Linked DNA regions of Canis lupus familiaris. The protein of the gene in region 2 purifies or fractionates together with the protein of the main gene of each other region. This does not show direct contact. Links are inferred from orthologs where the notes say so. Each region holds a gene or a part of one and is shown on either strand. Other genes may lie near its edges. The genes, in order: CTCF and RPS9.

The links.
Region 1: the proteins of RPS9 (region 2) and CTCF purify together in Homo sapiens (affinity purification with mass spectrometry; 3 studies listed by BioGRID and IntAct, with this or other methods). This does not show direct contact. The link is inferred for Canis lupus familiaris from reciprocal best matches to the Homo sapiens genes RPS9 and CTCF.

What each region holds. Positions count from the first base shown.
Region 1 is NC_049226.1:82,418,097-82,421,907, forward strand, and holds part of CTCF (transcriptional repressor CTCF), read right to left. Parts: intron 1,665-3,811; coding exon 875-1,664; intron 531-874; coding exon 360-530; intron 1-359.
Region 2 is NC_049222.1:103,746,578-103,751,083, reverse strand, and holds the start of RPS9 (40S ribosomal protein S9), read right to left. Parts: upstream 3,104-4,506; 5' UTR 3,060-3,103; intron 2,908-3,059; 5' UTR 2,889-2,907; coding exon 2,792-2,888; intron 2,679-2,791; coding exon 2,556-2,678; intron 1-2,555. UniProt on the Homo sapiens protein: Component of the small ribosomal subunit. The ribosome is a large ribonucleoprotein complex responsible for the synthesis of proteins in the cell. Part of the small subunit (SSU) processome, first precursor of the small eukaryotic ribosomal subunit.

The DNA.
Region 1 (3,811 bases), on a different chromosome or scaffold from region 2:
AGTGCCTGGGAATTTGGGGGGTCATTTTTTGTCACTGATGTTAAAAACCTTAGAAAAAAAAAAAAAAAAACCCCAAAAAACCTTAGCAACACAATGGTGATGTCCTTCAGGAAACATGACAGGTTAGCTACCATAGATAATCTTTTTCTGGCTCACCATCCTTAAACAGTCTGCTTATTTTCCACAAAAATTCCTTTACATTTACCTATAAATTCATCTGCTTATTATAAATCAGGATTACAGCAGAAGAAAGAACAAAAATCATTCTTTAACTTCCCACGGGAACCAGCTTAGATAATACTTAAAACCGAAGTTTTAACCTTTACCATGTTATAGCCCCCAACATTCATATCCAGCACCTGTGTGTGTGTTAAGGTGATTCCTCAGGAGGGTGACTGTTCTGAATGCCCTGCCACAGAGATGGCACTTGTGTGGTCTCTCATCAGTGTGACTTTTCATGTGACGATCCAAATTTGAACGCCGTGGACATGTATAACTGCAAAGCTCACACTGGAATGTCTTCTTTACACCTATATGCAAAACAAAACACTTACTTGTTGCAAGTTTAACCCGAATGTTAAATTTCTACAAATAAACTTCATTAGCCTTTTTAACTATATTCAATCTAAGTCATGTTAAATCATTATTATTCAATGCCACTAAAAGATTTACTTTTTTGTCTTCAGGACTTAAAAAATACTCAGTGTGGAAAAACTTCTTTTAGACTGGTTAAAACGACTGGTACCCAGCTCATGATCTTAAAAAAACAAAACAAAAAACACTTACTATAAAATAATTTGCATATACCCTATGTTATTTATTTGCTTTATCCCAAAATGATTTTATGAGAGTAAAATGGATAAATTCATTTTACCTTTCTTTTTAATTTTTGTTGGTTTTGGAGGCTTCATGTTACCAACTACTTTCTCTGCATTAACCTCTGACAGCAGGCCCTCCTGCTGTTCTTCCTCAAAATCATAGACAGACACATCCACATCTTTGCCTTCCTCTGTGTAACGCAGTTTGCTCTTTTTGGTTTTCTTTGTTTTTTTGGCTGGTGGCTGATAATCTGGGTCTTTTTGCCAACTAGGATCTTCTTGAGGTGGAAGTTCCCCTTGCTCTAGCGTCTCCACCTCTCCATTGGCACCTACTTTCACCACTTGAAACCCTTCAGGCAAAGGTAAGGTGTGACATATCATGGGTTCGCTTTCTGCAAGGCCCTCTTTAGATACTTCATTCTCATAAGCCCCCTGAAGTTCCTCAACTGAAGTGGTAGCAACAGGTACAGTCACAGGAACAGGTACTTGGACAAGCTGAAGCTCTCCTATGTTTATAGGCTGTTCTTCCATATTTACAACCTGCAAAGTTATGATCTGGGTATCGTCCACAGCAGCCTCTGCTTCTGGAGCGACTGTACCCTCCATTACTTCAGTCTTCATCTGAAGAAGGGTAGGATCCAGTTGTTCCATCATTACCATCTGTACACTGCTATTGACATCCTGGACCACCTCACCCCCATCAGTCTGGTTCTGGGGTAGGTGGCAAGTATCCTCTTCCTGGCCCCCTTCCCGGCGTCTCTGATAAGTCTTTCTTTCCTTTCCTTTAATGAAAGTTTCAGACTCTTCCACAATGGCTTCAACCGCCTCACCTTCCATTTCCCCTTCCTTTATAAGGGAGAACACAGCTTGTTATTAATCTATTCATTCATTTATTCCACAGATTGTTATTTAAAATAAAGCTTGTCTAAATGAAAATAAATACATTTTAAAACAAAAACGATCCCTGACAAATTAATTAGGAAATCAATGGTTGTTAAATTACAAAAAGACACAACAGATATTATGTGCCTCCTGATGGAAGAACAAACTACCCCCTATGAAGCAGTCTTATTATAAAAAACAAAAAATCTGAAACTAATCAAGTCTCTAGCTCCAACCACCAATTAACAGGAAATTGGTGACAGAGTATGTTAAATTACACTACAGGGATGAAATCAGCGTAATCCCAACTGAAGGAAACTATGCAGGACTAACTACCCAGTTTCTTCTGCAAATAAATCACCAAGGCAAAAAATGGGAAGGATAGAGGGAGAATTTACATATCAGTGGTTCTCAACCTGGGTAACTTTGCCTCTGGGGGCATTCGGCAAGGCCTGTGACATTTCTGGTTGTCAATACTGGGGTAGATATGCTACTAGCATCTCTAGTGGGTAGAGGCCAAATATATTACTAAATATTCTGATATGCATAGGTTCAATCCTCCACAACAAAGAATTATTGGCCCCCAAATGTCAATAATGCTGAGGTTGAGAAACCCTGATAAAAAGAGATATAAGAAATACAATAATGGGGCACCTAGGTATGTCTCAGTTGAACCTCCAGCTCTTGATTTTAGCTCAGGTCAAGATCTCAGGGTCCTGTGATCAAGCCAGGCCTGTAGACCTCTGCGCTCAGCAGGGAGTCTGCTTGAGGCTCTCTTCCCCCTCTGCCCCTCCCCCTGCTCGCTCTCTCTCTCTCTCTCTCTCTCTCACACACACACACACACACACACACACACACACACGTGCGCGTGTTCTCTCTCTTAAACAAATAAAATCTTTAAAGAAATATAGCAATCAATCACAACATATGGATCTCTTTGGATCCTAATTCAAACCAACAAACAATGTAAAAAAAAATAGGACATGAGACAATTAGATTCAACTCTGGATTTTTTTTTCAACTCTGGATATTTGATGATATTAAAGAACTGTTAACAAAATTAGTTTAAATCCTTTACATTTCCTGTAACTATTAATAAAAACACTGACAGAGGGCCTGGCTATTTTTCACTAAATTCTACCTTAGAAAAATACCCCATCATAGTGTTTCCTCACTCTATTTTTTTGGAATCAGAATCAGACCTTGGATCCAGACTCCAATGGTCCTGAGAGTGACTACCACACAACACTACCTCCTGTGTCATACCATCAACTTGACATTCATTTATTTCTCCTCTGTGAAACCACCAATTCCTTGAGGACAGGGACCATGTCTAACAAGTTGTTTTTGTTCCTCAGCACTACACTCAGGTTGGTAGGTACTCAACTAATTGAACATATTTTAAAAAACAGGAAAAGAAAAATGAGCCAATTCAGTTTCCAGCTCTTAAGCCTTGTGAATACCAAAGTACCCAGATACCTAACAGTAAAATGGGTCTGAACAATCATCTAATTCACAAAAAAATTTGACTTAAGTATATACAAGGTTAATTCAAAATTAAAGTGTTTTGTATTCTTGCCCTAGTCTTACACAAAGCTTTTGTTACTTCTATTAGAGAAACATTTCTCCAATTTGGGTACCTTAACACTATACCCATGCTGGTAGTCAGGACCACCCACAAGGTAGTACAAAGACTACAAAGAGCTGGTTCTGCATTCAAGGAGTTACTGTCTATTTTAATAAACCAAAGCTTATTTACTTAAGTAATTTCTATACCCAATGTGGGGATTGAACTCATAACCCCGAGATCAAGGGTCACCATGCTCTTCTGACTGAGCCAGCCAGGCATCCCTAAAGAGTTACTATCTAACTTAAGGGACAGAACAGCTACAATGGTTCTAGGTAAAAGTAGGTAGGTTCTGAGAACTCTACTCAACTGGTGTGAACTAGTCACACTGTAAATTCTCAATAGTCACATGGGGCTACCCTGTTGGACAGCACTGTTTTATATCTTTGTTTCTCAAAGCATGGTCTAAGGACTAGCAGCAATGGCATAACCTGGAACTTGTTAGAAGCATAGAATTTCAGGCTCTACTCTTTGTTTCTTAAAC
Region 2 (4,506 bases):
GCAGTGGCACAATCACTATGGAAAACAGTACGGAGGTTCCTCAAAAGACAAAAACAGAATGATGACACGCAACAATCCCACTTCTGGGCATTTAAATTTTTTTTTAAAAATATTTTATTTGTGAGAGAGAGAGAGAGAGAGAGAGAGGAGAGAGAGAGGCAGAGACACAGGCAGAGGGAGAAGCAGGCTCCATGCAGGGAGCCCGATGTGGGACTGGATCCCCAGTCTCCAGGATCATGCCCTGGGCCCAAAGGCAGGCACTAAACCGCTGAGCCACCCACGGATCTCATACTTCTGGGTATTTATCCAAAGGATATGAAATTGCTAACTGGAAGAGAAGCTCCCTTGCAGATTATTTCCAAGGGCCACGACACAAACAATGTGAGAGCCCACGGATGGTTGAACAAGTAACAAAGGTGGTAAGACGCACACACTGGGGTGGAGGTGTGGGGGTATTCCTCAGCCACAATAAGAACAAAATCTCACCACCTAGAACGTGGATGGACCCTGAGGACATTGTGCCAAGTGGACTAAATCAATTCCCATGATCTTGCTTATACAGAGACTAAACAAAACCATCATCACCACCAAAATACACATCAAGTCCATAAAGAATAGATTATGGTGGTTGCCAGAGGCACAGGGGGGATGGGTCAAGGTGTTCAAATGATAAACTTCCAGTTAGGATACTGAATATTGCTAAGTTGCTAAAATAACATTTTTAAAGACTGTGACAGAAATTAACTAGATTTATTGTAATCATTTCATGGCATATAGAAATACCAAATCACTGCTATACATCATACCCTAGTTAAAAAAAACCCAGTAACATTCAAATACTAATACAAAAAAGACACTCATAGGCAATTGGGATTACCTACCAGTAAGACACTTACGCCTTTTTGTTCTTATGCTAGAAAACACAAACTTGATGAGAATTCAAACTTTATAATCTCTTTAGAGACTTCTAGGGAAAATAAGACCACCATCATCAGAAACAAACGTTATTTCTTGTTTACTATTAAACCACCTACACACTGAGGAAAGCCAGCATTCCATCAACACCAGAACAGCCTTATCTACATGTAAGAACTAAAATAATTTTCAATGCACACTGAATAAACTTTGCATCTTCAACAGGAGTATGTCCAACCACTGAAAGATCACGTGGGCTCCGTTTGGCCAAAACAAGAATCAGGACATTTTACAAACGTAAAAGCAATGAGGACAATTCTCAGACGCATACGTCTTTCCCTGTCATCATGACACAAGGCAACTCAAGTACCTCAGTTTCTGATCTGAAAAACGGATGCAATACCAGTTTCTTTACGGCTGCCGTGAGAATAGGATGAAGCCCACACCTGTATGAACCCTCCGCCACACGTTGGCTGTTGGTTTACGAGTCAGTCTCTTGAACAGGCAAGCAGAGAAGTTTTCTGCCCAAAGTCATAGGCCTCGGTGGGATGGATTGGACCCCAGGCTCTATGAGTGAGACAACTCTCCAATAGACTGGCAGAGCTTCCAGGGTTCCTCCTTCTTGTCCCTTGGAGTTAAATGCCTTATTTACTTGAAAGCCTACAACCTGTGGTGCTGCCTACCTCCTGTAACTCACTCCTCTTCTGCCACAGGGAACCACAAGTACTCCTGGGTTACCTGCTGCTCAACCCCACCCAGTCCGCCACATGAATGCTTATCCAACCAAGGACCTGACCTAGCTGTATCTTCACAAAGTTCCTCCACCTTCAACTAGCTGTGGGATAAAGTCCCCTGCAAGCAACCACAGGGGAGGGAATTCCTGAATTTTCAGAATTGGGTAATGAATCTGCAATGTTAAACCGCCTTCAAGTCCTCCTCAATATAGAAAATGAAAGACCACCCACACTTAACAGTGACAACTCAAGTTAAGTTTCCTTTTTAAGTATACACTGAGAAAGAAATCAAACTAGTAACTTCGAAAATTCAGGAAAAAACCAGGCATTATTCCCAGCCCCTCCTGCCTTTCACCATAAACCAAGATTCCCTAAGCTCAGGCCCAAAGCAACATCAGGATAGCCATTGAGGCAGCCAATTTTAGGGGTTGGCGCAAAACAAGCAACCTGTGTGGTAATTTACTCCCATATAAGCACTTATAAAACACAAGCTACCTCCTTCCAAACCAGTACGTTATCAAAGTCCTTTACCTTTCACAGGTAGCATTTCAACCGTAGGCCAAGTTCCCTAAGCTTCCTCTAAAAATCACAGCCCATCCCCACCACAGTTCGCCCCCCAGTCCCACTACAGTGAGAGGCCCCTGACTGCCCCTCTACCACTGTAAGGCTTCCGTGCAGATCCAACGACTCAGAAGAAGCACTTTAAAAGAATGCAGTTAGGGATGCCTGGGTAGCTCTGGCTGAGCGTCTGCCTTTGGCTTAGGTCATGATCCTGGGATGGAATCCTGCATCAGGCTCCCTGCAAGGAACCTGCTTCGTCACGCACCCAAGGGAGAGGGGTACACCTGAATGCAGACCTGCTATCTCCACCTCATCGGAGACAGGCCCGTGCACGCTCACACACACCTTCGAACAGGCGCCGCGGGTCCTTTTCGTCCAGCGTCAGCAGCTCCCGGGCGGCCTTGCGGATCTTGGCCAGGGTAAACTTGACCCTCCAGACCTCACGTTTGTTCCGGAGCCCGTACTCGCCTGCGGAGACAGGGCACTGGCTGGCGGGGGGCCCGGCAGGTGGCGCAGAGCCAGCACGCGGCGGCCTCGCCCACCCCTCACCCGGAAGCGGAAGCCGGGTCCAGGCTACTCACCGATCAGTTTCAGTTCCTGGTCGAGGCGCGACTTCTCGAAGGGCCTCCGAGGGGTCACATAAGTCTTACGACACACCCAGCTCCGGGCCACTGGCATGTTGGCTCCGCGCGTCCGCCTGCGCGGGAGGGCAAGAAGGGCCCGTGTGGGCGTGGACGGCGCCTACGCGGCCCCCTAGCGAACCCACACTCCCGCGCTGCAGTCTCATCTGACCGTCTCCGACCTCGCAACCCACCCCCTGACCCGCGGGCACAACACACTACTCCTTACCGTGAGCTCCCAGACCGGAGAAAGAGAAGCACGCGGCCCCCGAGCACGCTTTTATAGCAACGCCGCGGCCTGGTGACGTCAGCGCGCACGCCGCACACCTGCACCAATCAGAAGAGGCGTAGGCGGACGGGAAAAAGCATTCGAGACGAGAGGTTGGGCCAGAGCGACGAGCGCGCGCAGGCAGGCACGCCGGGAAGGGTGCAGTTGACCCGTCCGGCTGGCGAGCCTCTGCGTTGGGAGCTGGTGTCGGTGCTCCCGGGGCTGCGGTCGCTCCCGCTCGGTGGAGCTGGGGCCTGGCGACCTTCCAGGAGGGGCCCCGAAAGTTCCTGAGCCCCGATGTGGCCGGCTTTCATGTCGGAGGAGGAGCGTCCTGCTGAAGCACGGCCGGAGCCAGCAGGGCGCACCCCGGCTGCACACCTGGTCGGGCAGCAGGTGCACAGGCCCGGCCTCGGGGGCACATGGGTGCCCTGCCCGAACGCGCCCCCCGCACCCTCGCGTCCCGGCAGGACTGCAGTTCGACCTCCCTGGCGTCCTCATCCCAGGAGTTGGGCCTCACCTGAAGGCCCGCGCCTGGTGCCTTCGGCTCCCGGTCCGGGGGCGTCGCCCTCCTGCAGCACAGGCCTCATTCACCGGAACCGCCGGGGTAGCCTGCGGTTGCCTTTGGGTTTCCAGGACAGGAGAAATGTTTTGAAACTTATTGCTATGGTTGAAGCTGTGGTCAATGTATACAATGGGATTTTCCTCAGCCATTAGAAACGACGAATACCCACCATTTGCTTCGAGGTGGATGGAACTAGACGGTATTATGCTGACTGAAATAAGTCATTCAGAGAAGGACAAACATTATATGGTTTCACTCATATGGGGAATATAAAAAGTAGTGAAAGGGATTGTAAGGGAAAGGAGAGAAAATGAGTGGGAAAAATTAGAGGGTGACAGAACATGAGAGACTCCTAACTCTGGGAAACGAACAAGGGGTAGTGGAAGGGGAGGCCGGGAGGGGGATGGGGTGACTGGGTGACGGGCGCTGAGGGGGCACTTGACGGGATGAGCACTGGGTGTTATGTTGGCAAATTGAAAGCCAATACAAATTGTAAGTTTTAACAAGATTTCTAACAGCAAAAAAAGAAAAAAGTTCTTGCTACCTGTTGGCCTCCCCCTTGGTGCCATTTATCACCTGCAGGAACTTACACCATTTCTTGACCTCCTTTCTGGACATCTTACCCTCCCAGGGGCTCTGGGATGACAGGCACACCCTGGGGACACTGGGGTCTTAGTTCTAGGCCTGCAAGAGAGCAGATGTTGCAAAAGAAAAATGAATTGTTTGGTTTCCCAGTGCATCTGTAAGTTCTGTTCATATTATATGGTGGTCTATTAGGTGTGGAATAGCAGTATGTCTAAACAACCACAATGTACACATCTTAATAAAAAAATATTTTATTGCTAA